Linked DNA regions of Sus scrofa. The main gene of each other region encodes a partner of the protein of the gene in region 3 in a complex. Links are inferred from orthologs where the notes say so. Each region holds a gene or a part of one and is shown on either strand. Other genes may lie near its edges. The genes, in order: PPFIBP1, ERC1 and PPFIA1.

Region 1 (3,651 bases), on a different chromosome or scaffold from region 3:
AGAAAGGAGGAAGAGCAATTAAAACACAATCTCTGGCATCAGTTACACGGGTAGAACCATCATGTGGGGAAAAGGAAGGCACAGAGGAAAACAAAGCCAAAGAAGTCAACGAGGCAGGATTTGAGGCTCTGAGAGAACCAGATGCTTTACTTCCCCAGGTTCCAAGAGGAAACAGGTCTTTGCCTCCATACATGGACAGGCATGTGCATGGTAAGTGCATGCTGTGTAAACCTTGACCTCAGATGCTACCTCATCAGACGGCCGCCTCCGTAGACAGTTTGGTTCAAAGTTATTGATCCTCAGGACCTGGATGGCCCTTTTGATGCTGAGATGATGGAGCACACTTACAACTTTCAGAGACAGTAAGTCATCCTACAAAACAAAACAAAATGAGGAGTTCTCTGAGCAGGAGAACCTTCTTAGGGACATCTCAGAAAACTCAAGGTAAAGTAGAAGAGCCCCTCCACTGATAGGCCCCCAAGGGCTTGTCAGCATTTTCAAAGCTTTTCTTTAGGAACAGAACCCTTTTTCCTGTTCTGAACAAAATTTTCTCCAGGACCCCAACATAAATGAAAACCAAAATTCATGTTGTTCCAACTGAAGCTAATTTCTACCTGTTTCTCTCGTCTACTGAGATAGGATCATGGGACTGAACAGCTTTGAAAAGCACAGTTTGGAAAGCACTCCCAGGAGTTCCCTGGTGACTCAGGGAGTTAAGGACTGAGCGCTGTCACTGCTGTGGCTCGGATTGCTGGTGTGGCACAGGTTCAATCCCTGGCCTGGGAAATTCCCCATGCTGTGGGTGCAGCCAAAGAAAGAAAGGAAGGAAGGAAGGAAGGAAGGAAGGAAGGAAGGAAGGAAGGAAGAAAGAAAGAAAGAAAGAAAGAAAGAAAGAAAGAAAGAAAGAAAGAAAGAAAGAAAGAAAGAAAGAAAGAAAAGCACTCCTTGGTTGTCAAGGGGGAGGGAGGAGAAAGTGGGATGGACGGGGAGTTTGTGGGTGGTAGTTCAAACTATTACATTTAGAATGGATAAGCAATGAGGTTCTATTATATTCACTCTCTTGAGGTAGAACATTTTGGAAGGATAGTATTAGAAGAAAAATGTATATATATATATGTATGATTGTGTCACTTTGCTACACAGCAGAAATCGACACAACACAATCAACTATATTCTAATAAAAATTAAAAAAGAAAAAAAAGCACTCCCTGGGTCACCACAGAAAGTAACCTGCTTTGATTTGATTTGATGAAGCAGATAACTGAGAGCTGGGATGATCACTGATGAGTTGGTTTTCTGAGCTCAGGCACATCACAGTTTGGGGGAAAAGTGGAAGATTGCTTCTGTGATATTAACCCCCCAGACTCAAGAAATCTCTGCTTCTAGATTATAGTGTTTTATTGATAAGAGGTTTGGAATAATTATATTAATCGATGCAAAGCTTTCGGTGAGAGGTAAGGACAGAAGAGAAATAAAGAAGTTGTTAAGTAGCAGCACAGATCACCAGGCGATTCCTTTAAGAAGTAACTTTCACCAAGTCTGTGGCTATTGGGAACTTTTAAAAACATACCAAACACACCAAAACAAATTATCTTAGAAAGTGATTTGGGGGCGGTAGTGTCAAGAAAAGCACTAGTCTGCTTGCAAACACACCCAGAAAATAAACAAGGAAAATATCCATTTCAGACACGCCTTACCGATAACATTTCCTGCAAGGGAAAAATTAATCTACTATAGGAATATTTTTAAAATAAAATTATAGGACAGTTTAAATCCTTAAGGCTACTAACTGAGCCTTAAAAAATGATTTCCCAAATTCTTTTCTAGATTAATTTCTTAATGTAATAATAAGTTAGAAAAGGCATTTAACTTTTTTTTTTTTTTTTTTTTTTTGTCTTTTTGTCTTTCTAGGGCTGTACCTGCGGCATATAGAGGTTCCCAGGCTAGGGGTCCAATCAGAGCTGTAGCCCCTGGCCTATGCCACAGCCACACCAGGTCCGAGCCATGTCTGTGACCTATACCACAGCTCACGGCAATGCTGGATCCTTAACCCACCGAGCGAGGCCAGGGATCGAACCTGCAACCTCATGGTTCCTAGTCAGATTTGTTTCCGCTGTGCCATGATGGGAACTCCACATTTAACATTTTTAATCTAAGATTGAGATGCACATTCAAAACATTTCCATGTGCACTATTACCAACTAATTAAAAGTCTTTCAGATTAAAAAAAATTTGAAATGCTTAAGTATTTACAATGTAAATAAGATATTAATTAGTTTAAGGGGTTTTAAAAGCAGGGGTCATTTTCTTTTAAATCAAAACACTTTAGGGGAGGGTTTTGTTTGTTTGTTTGCCTCTTCTAGGGCCACTTCTGCAGCATATGGAGGTTCCCAGGCTAGGGGTCTAATCGGAGCTGTAGCCACTGGTCTACGCCAGAGCCACAGCAACGTGGGATCCGAGCCGTGTCTGCAACCTATACCACAGCTCATGGCAACGCCAGATCCTTAACCCACTGAGCAAGGCCAGGGATCGAACCCTCAACCTCATGGTTCCTAGTAAGATTCATTAACCACTGAGCCACGACGGGAACTCCAGGGGAGGTTTTTAAAAATCTTTTAAGTAATTTTAGATTTATACAGGAGCTGCCAAAGAGAGTACAGAGACTCACAGGCCCTTCACCCAGCTTCCTCTAATGCCAACATCTTCTATAACCAGGATATTCAACAAACGAAGACATTAATACAGACAAAATCAAATTCAACTAAACCTTAGACTTTATTCAGATTTTACCAGTTTTTCCACTAGGTCCTTTTTTTTTTTTTTACTTTAAAAAAAAAGAATACTTAAAATTTCTCCATTTTTAAACATTTTTATTAAAGTATAGTTGATTTAAAGTGTTGTGTCAATTTCTGCTATACAGAAAAGTGATTCGGTTATATATACATATACTTTTTCATATTTTTTTCCATTACGGTTTATCACAGGATATTGAATATAGTTCCCTGAGCCATCTAGGATCTCGTTGTTTATCCATCCTACATACAACAGTTTGCCTCCGATAATCCTAAACTCTTAATCCATCTCTCCCTTATCCCATTTCCCCCTTCACAACCACAAGTCTGTTCTCTATGTCTGTGAGTCTGTCTCTGTTTCATAAATAAGTTAATTTGTGTTGTATTTTAGATTCTACATAGAAGTGCCAACATACGGTATTTGTCGTTCTCTTTCTGACTTATTTCATCTAGTAAGATAATCTCCAGGTCCATCCACGTTGCTACAAATGGCATTATTTCATTCTTTTTTTATGGCTGAGTAATATACAATTGTGTGTGTGTGTGTGTGTGTGTGTGTGTGTGTGTGTGTGTGTGTGTGTAGCATTTAGGTTGTTTCCATTCTTGGCTATTTTGAATAGTGCTGCCATGAATATACGGGTGCATGTGTCTTTTCAAATTTAAGTTTTATCTGGATATATGCCCAGGAATGGGCTTGCTGGATTATATGGCAGCTCCATATTTAGTTTTTTGAGGAACCTCTATATTGCTTTTCATAGTAGATGCACCAATTTATATTCCCACTAGGTCCTTTTTCTGATCCAGGATCCAAATCCAGGATACCAGATTCAAACAGACTTTCTTTGATTTTGGATTTCTG
Region 2 (3,651 bases), on a different chromosome or scaffold from region 3:
CACAGATGCACTTGGATCTTGACTTGCTGTGACTGTGGCTGTGGTGTAGGCTGGCAGCTGTAGCTCAGATTCAACCCCTAGCCTGGGAACTTCCATATGCCATGTGTACAGACCTGGAAAAAGAAAAAAATTTAAAAAATAGCCCTCCCCATTGTCAGTTTCAAAAAAAAAAAAAAAAAAAAAAGACCTTACCTGCTAAAACATATATTGTTCCATTTCTCCAACCACCAGTATTTGAAAGTTCAGTAACAAAAGTAGTATGAAACATAAAAATAGATGGATATTTATTTTAGAAAGAATCTTCTAAAAGGACTTCATAATAATGAATCAGGCACATTAGACATTCTAAGCACAGGTGTATTTTTCATTTGATAGGATTCTAGACAAGATCTCTATGGTCCAATCAAATCAAACATTTAGAATGTATCTAAATCCCCGATCTCAAACTGAAATGGGGAAATTTGTTTAATTACTGTAAATCCTATTAAACCAATCTTCTCTGTAAAGTGGAAAATGTCTGACCTCTGAGGGCTGTGGAGGGTGTAATGAATGCAGAGTTTAATTAGGGCCCACTGCTGGCTCACTATAATCTATTAATTAGCATTCTCAGTTCTCTATATCTCATTGCAGTGTTTCACTTTGCTTTAAAATTGCACCCTTCGTTTTTTGGACCAAAGTGATACAATTTTAGGATTGTGTGGTAATTACAGTGGGTGCAGGAAGCATCTATTCCTGCCAGCACTAGTATTTAATTAGGGCAAGGGGCGGAATCTAGATAAAGCAGTGTTCACCCTCCCTCAGTGCATATGGTTTTTTGGCATCATAGCCCTGCGGACTGTTTCCCTTCCCCTGGATTGAACTGCTGAGTCCCCACCATAGTCTTTACAGAAGACTCCAATATTTTGCCTTTGAATGTAGCTTGGTAATTAGAGAGGTTATTGCCATTGCTTTTTATTCACAGATCTTTTAAAGTATAGGCATAATTAGCTGCCTGAATTACTTGAAAATAAAGAAGCCAGTATTTTTTTCCTCATTAAAATGAATATTTCCAAGTTGCTTGATAATAAAAACCATCCTGGTGATAGGAATATTTTCAGCAGCATCACAAAGGTACTTTGGAGGCTACTTAATCCAATGATGAATTTAATAACCTCAATTTAACATTCAACTCCTACCAAAATCCACTTTATATTTTACATATAATCAATCACACCAAGTTGCCTTTCTTCCACCCTAAATCCTTAAATTTGAAGAAATAAAAAATTCTTAAAAAAGAAAAAAAAAAAAAGGATCCTGAAGTTAAACTTCATAAATGTGAAAGAACTGCTACTCATTTTTGGTACTTAATACATATTTACACCATTAATATTAACTTTTAACTAATATCCATTCTATACTGTCAACATATGAATCTGCCTTGTGATAGTTTAAGATTTTTTAAAATATTTACAAAGGTAAATCTTAATACTACACCGCACACTTAAATTACATAGCCTGAATAATTTTTTTTTTTTTTGTCTTTTTAGGGCCACACCCGAGGCACATGCAGGTTCCCAGGCCAGGGGTCCAATCGGAGCCTGACTACAACATAGCCACAGCAACTAAGGATCTGAGCTGCATCTGCGACCTATACCATGCCGGATCCCTAACCCACTGAGCAAGGCCAGGGATCGAACCTGTGTCCTCATGGATGCTGGTCAGCTTCATTGCCGCTGAGCCATGACGGGAATTCCACAGCCTGAATAATTTTGACGACAGACCTTAGAGCATGTAGGAAAATTACATTCTCACAAGATTTCAAAAAGGTAATATATGCTGAAGGAAAAGAAGAGAAAGAGAAGCTAGGGAAAAGAAATGCAAGTATGGTGAGCAACCAGAAAACAATTAAGGCACAGAACCAATTTGGAAAAGGCTGAGACACAGAGAACATAAAATACTAAGAATAACAGGAAAAAGGAAAATAAATGAGCCAAGAAGGGAAAAACCTCAGAAAGAAAAGAAAAAGAATAGCTCATTTCATTTACACACATGAATTCAGTTTCACTTATTCAGAGCACGTAAAGGCAAACACATATAAAACCAACCTGGTTTTCCTCCTGCACAACTCTATACTGTTCCTTCCAAATAGTGATTTTGGAAGCTTCATCTTTTCTCAGGGCTCGTTCTTTCTTCAGCTCTGGGCTCCAGAAGGTCTTGATGCTATTCATTGAAGAACTTAATTTGCTCTCCTTTACTTCTACATCCTTTCGCAAGAGATCATTCTCTCTTAATACTTCCTTCAGCTGTGTCTGAAGATCCATGATTGTATTATCTCTTGCCTGACGAAGAGAGTGAGGAACGGTAGATGCCATGCTCACAGGAGGGAGGTGATGCTCTCCAAATGCGATAGTGTCACTAGCAACCCCACTGCTCGCTATATTGGGGCTACTGCCCATGGCAGTCATCCTCACACCATAAGGCAGACGTCCTCCAGATCGGCCAAGTGTCATGGTGCTTTTAGGTGTTTCTGAACCCACATTTTCATGGTCACTTAGGTACATAGGGCCAGAAGTGGCATAGGCAGCATTCAAGGATTGAATATTCTCCATTGAAAGGGTTTTCCCACTGCCACCTCCGACACTGCTTCCAGAACTCCCTCCTGTACTATTGGTTCGACGATGACCCAAGCGAGGGGAACGTGGAAGCCTAGGTGAACGCCCAGGGCTCTGGTTGCTTGATTCCACCTTCCCAACTGAGCGAGCACTTCCATACATGGTTGCAAGTGAATTCAGGTGCCAGGACAAGTGTAAAGCAAAACCAAAATATGGAACTCTCTGAGGTTTCTCTATGGCTGTAAGTCCGCTTAAGGCTAATCAGAAATAACAGGTCCTCAGCTGTCCAATCTTGAAGAAATAGCTTACGCCATTATCTGCAATGAAAAGATCACACATTAACTCCTCCAATAAGAAACATTTCCCTTCTCAGACACTTTTAACTGACCCCACTTGAGGAATAGCTCCCCTTTAATCATGTTTACTCATGCATTTGTTCAGAGCACAACTTATTTCTCAGTAAACATCACTCTAAAAACATCCACCATGTCTCAAAACTGAATATTGAAACCAAACCAAGCAAATGGAAAAGAAAAAGAAATAAGAGGTATAAAGATTAGCAAGGAAAAGAAAAAAATAGTCAATGTGTGAATATACGATTTTCTAACTGGAAAACCCAACATCATCAACTGACGAGTTATTAGAACCAATAACAGAACTCAACCAACTGCTTAGGTACAGACCAATACATAAATATCAATACTTTCCTGTACATCAGTAATAATAATTAGAAAATGCATTTTTTAAATAGCAACAAAACCATAAAAACACTTTGATATCAATCTAACAAAAATGTTCAATAATTTTTGTAAAAAAACCATAAAACTTTCCTGAACAAAAGGAAAGTTATCCATGTTCAAGGATGAAAAGACAAACACTGTAAAGGTGTCAGTTCTTCCCCAACCACTTCACAGGCCAATGAAAATTTCTACGGCATCCTTCATAACCGGCTAACTCGAAAATTCAAACAGAAGAGGTAAGGTAAAACAGTAACGAAAACAATCTGAAACAGAAGAACAAAGGAAGACACTCCCTAAACAGCAATCTACATTATAAGTCC
Region 3 (3,651 bases):
GGGGCCCGTGTTGTCCAGAGCTTCTGGGTCCCTGCGCGGTTGGTTGGAGGTCGGCCTTGGCCGTTCCCGAATCTTGGCAAGAGGAGGGCTGAGGTCTCCGGCGGTGACTGTGTCCTTTCAGTCCTGTCAGTTACTGCTTCCTTCTCGCTTTTGAAACTGTTTTAATTCACGTGATGGGTTGTGAGATCAACATGTCCATGAAGGAAACAAAGTGTTAAAAATAAAGGCAGTGAGTAGGTTTGATTGATCCTTCAAACTTGTTCATGAGTCGTGATCATTCTTTGCTGGCGCATTGTCGCACATAAAAGCTATGTCAGGAGAGTAGCCTGTGGCCAGTTGCAGCTTTATTGTGGTTTGGTAAATAAGGGCAATTTATGAGCACAAATGAGCCTGGCTCTTCAATGGTAGAATCCCTTTTGTGGAAAGCTGGCACATTTGCCGGCAATTTAAAGGTGGTCAACAAGGCCCAGGATTATGTCGAAGTTGCAAACACAGCAGCCTTGTCGCCAGTGCCCTTAGCCTCTGAGAATGTGTCGTAGCTTCAAAGCCCCGTTTCAAGGTCATGTAAACAGCCCTCTGGCCGCTTCTCTGGGGCTGCTCCCCGCACTGATGGTTCTCACTTGTTGAAAGCAGACCCTGGCCTACGGGGACATGAACCACGAGTGGATCGGCAACGAGTGGCTGCCCAGCCTGGGCCTCCCGCAGTACCGCAGCTACTTCATGGAGTGCCTGGTGGACGCGCGGATGCTGGACCACCTGACCAAGAAGGACCTCCGCGGGCAGCTGAAGATGGTCGACAGTTTCCACAGGTGGGCGCCGCAGGGCCGCCTCGCCGGCTGGCTAGAGGCTGTGCCTGTTGCCGCGTCTAAAGTTTTTCTTTCTCTTTCTTTTTAATCGGAAATAGAAACAGTTTCCAGTGTGGAATTATGTGCCTGCGAAGGTTAAATTATGACCGAAAAGAACTGGAGAGAAGAAGAGAAGAAAGCCAGAATGAACTAAAAGGCTAGTATGGTCTGTTGCGTTGATCCGGCATAGTTCTTGCTTCCCAGTGTATTCGCAGCCTTGGTGATTTCCTATTTTAAAAAAAAAAGCAAATCAGGAAATGCGTTCAGTGGAGGAGACTCATCTGGCCCCCTGGAGGAGGAGGGAGGGGTAAAAGGAGTGGAGCTAGCATCCGCCTCCGCGACCAGAGAACTGGCGCCTGTGTGCGTGGGCTTATACCTCAGTCATTAGGTCAAGGTCTCAGGGTAAACACGTTCCCCACGACGTTAGAGAATTCTTGTTTGGGTGACATGCCCCGCGTCTCCCAGAGATGCTGGTACACAAAGTAGGTAACTCCAGGAGTTCCCATCGTGGTGCAGCGGAAGCGAATCTGACTAGGAACCATGAGGTTGCGGGTTCAATCCCTGGCCTCGCTCCGTGGGTTAGGGATCCGGTGTTGACGTGAGCTGTGGTGTAGGTCGCAGACGCGGCTCGGATCCCGCGTTGCTGTGGCTGTGGTGTAGGCTGGTGGCTACAGCTCTGATTAGACCCCTAGCCTGGGAACCTCCATATGCTGTGATTGCAGCCCTAGAAAAGGCAAAAAAACAAAAAACAAAACAAAGTAGGGAACTCCAGGGATGCTGGTTACATGCTGTAGGTAGCTCCAGAGATGCTGGCACACGCTGTAGGTAAGGTAGCTCCCGAGATGCTGGCGCACGCCGCAGGGAACTCCAGGGATGCTGGTGACACACTGTAGGGAACTCCAGAGCCGAGTACAGGATCCTGCTGGTCTCTCTTGATTCTTCTCTCTTTGTGTACCCAAAATGCGTTCATTGGGATCATTTCTCCATCCATCTTGATGCCGGGAGCTTTTAGGGCTGCTTCCGTCTGAAGGTGCATCCTTCTGTCGCCTCGCTTTTCCTCCCGTGGGCTGGCAGAGGACCCACTCTGCTGTCTGTGCCTGTGGCCGAGGACGGAGTGTAGAGCATCTCGTGCTTCCTCGTCTCCTCTGGAGACGGATGGAGGGCATCCTTTGCGAGAGGCGCCTTCTCGAGGGAGGTCCTCCCGCCGCAGAGGGCACTCCCTTGATGTCACCGTGAACAGTGCTCCTCTGGCCATTTGTCTGCGGACTCGAGGAGCACGGAGGACAGGGAGCTCTGCTCCCAGGCTGGAGGGACGGGCCTTGGAGGCAGATGGGCTGTCCTTCGCCGGGGAGGGCCAGGCGTCTCGGTTAGAAGCGGGACGTGGGTGTGGGAGGACCGACCGGGAGGCGGGGTGCTCGTCTCACTCCCTGTGCCTCTGAATGGGATGAGCCAGTGCAGGGGAGCCTTCGACACCGGCTCAGAATGGAACCTCCTGCTCCCTGGGGCTCAGGTGAAGGGTCCGGCCCGGACCCTGCTAGGGCGCAGGTTCGATCCCTGGCCTGGGAACTGCCACATGCCATGGGTGTGGCCCAAAAAGTGAAACCTCCCAGAATTTTCAGAAAATAAAGGAATCACTAATGATAGTGATAGCAATACTTATTGAACCACTGTGGGCACTGTCATAGGTTACTTTCTTTGATCCGTACGCAGCCCTGTGAGGGTGTGTGATGGTTTCATCCCTGGTTTTTACTAAGAAATTAAAGGTGAAAATTTAATGGCTGCAGAGATGGCCCATTTGAAGGCCGGTCTGGTCGTGACTGAGTTACGGGGAAGCGTGAGAAAAGCCAGTAGCCAGCATTCATGCCGTGTGTGCCTTTGTCTAGAGAAGCGTTTGGAGATGATGTGTGTGAAGCTGTTTCACTTGTTTCCCAGATCCCCCTTTTTTTTTGGCTTCTCTAGGGCTGCACCCACGGCACATGGAGCTTCCCAGGCTAGGGGTCGAATCCGAGCTGTAACCGCCAGCCTACACCACAGCCACAGCGACTCAAGCTCCGAGCCACGTCTGCGACCTACACCACAGCTCACGGCAACACCAGATCCTCAACCCACTGAGCAAGGCCAGGGATCAGACCTGCATCCTCATGGATACTAGTCAGGTTCTTAACCCGCTGAGCCACAGTGGGAACTCCAGGCTTCACAATTATAAATGAAAGGTTTGTGCTGAATTGAGCAAGCTGTCCTGACATAGTGCCAACTCTTGATGACGGGAACAAAGTGTATGGGAGTCTGTATCTGAGCCATGTTCGTGCCTGATGGGCATTCACTTTTTTTTTTTTTTGTCCTTTTGTCTTTTTAGGGCTGCACCCAAGGCATATGGAGGTTCCCAGGCTTGGGGTCCATGTGGAGCTGTAGCCACCGGCCTACGCCACGGCCACAGCAACGCCAGATCCTTAGCCCGCTGAGCGAGGCCAGGGATCCAACCTGCGTCCTCACGGACGCTCGTCGGGTTCGTTCACTGCTGAGCCACGACGGGGCCTGGCGGGCATTCACCTTCTTATGTGTCCTTCCGTCCCTGACCCCTGGATCCTCGTCCTGAAGGTGAACGGGGTAATGACGTCGTTTCTCCTGGGCTCACGCGGAGGACGAACAGCTTCCGCTCGGATAGAAACGGGCCGAGCCCGGTGTGTAAGCGCCGGAGGGCTGGTGCGCCCGCCCGCAGGGCCTCCCCGCCCTTGTGGAGTCGCGTCGTGGTCGGGAGCCGGGGGCTGCGGGCACGTGGGCGACGAGCTTTTCCGACGGCTCTCCC

The links.
Region 1: PPFIA1 (region 3) and PPFIBP1 share a complex: the UniProt entries of both Homo sapiens proteins name them as parts of the cortical microtubule stabilization complex. The link is inferred for Sus scrofa from reciprocal best matches to the Homo sapiens genes PPFIA1 and PPFIBP1.
Region 2: PPFIA1 (region 3) and ERC1 share a complex: the UniProt entries of both Homo sapiens proteins name them as parts of the cortical microtubule stabilization complex. The link is inferred for Sus scrofa from reciprocal best matches to the Homo sapiens genes PPFIA1 and ERC1.

The regions. Positions count from the first base shown.
Region 1 is NC_010447.5:46,037,736-46,041,386, forward strand, and holds part of PPFIBP1 (liprin-beta-1), read right to left. Parts: intron 373-3,651; coding exon 250-372; intron 1-249. UniProt on the Homo sapiens protein: May regulate the disassembly of focal adhesions. Did not bind receptor-like tyrosine phosphatases type 2A.
Region 2 is NC_010447.5:68,251,135-68,254,785, reverse strand, and holds part of ERC1 (ELKS/Rab6-interacting/CAST family member 1), read right to left. Parts: intron 2,909-3,651; 5' UTR 2,754-2,908; coding exon 2,085-2,753; intron 1-2,084. UniProt on the Homo sapiens protein: Regulatory subunit of the IKK complex. Probably recruits IkappaBalpha/NFKBIA to the complex. May be involved in the organization of the cytomatrix at the nerve terminals active zone (CAZ) which regulates neurotransmitter release.
Region 3 is NC_010444.4:3,081,816-3,085,466, reverse strand, and holds part of PPFIA1 (liprin-alpha-1), read left to right. Parts: intron 1-633; coding exon 634-809; intron 810-904; coding exon 905-1,002; intron 1,003-3,651. UniProt on the Homo sapiens protein: May regulate the disassembly of focal adhesions. May localize receptor-like tyrosine phosphatases type 2A at specific sites on the plasma membrane, possibly regulating their interaction with the extracellular environment and their association with substrates.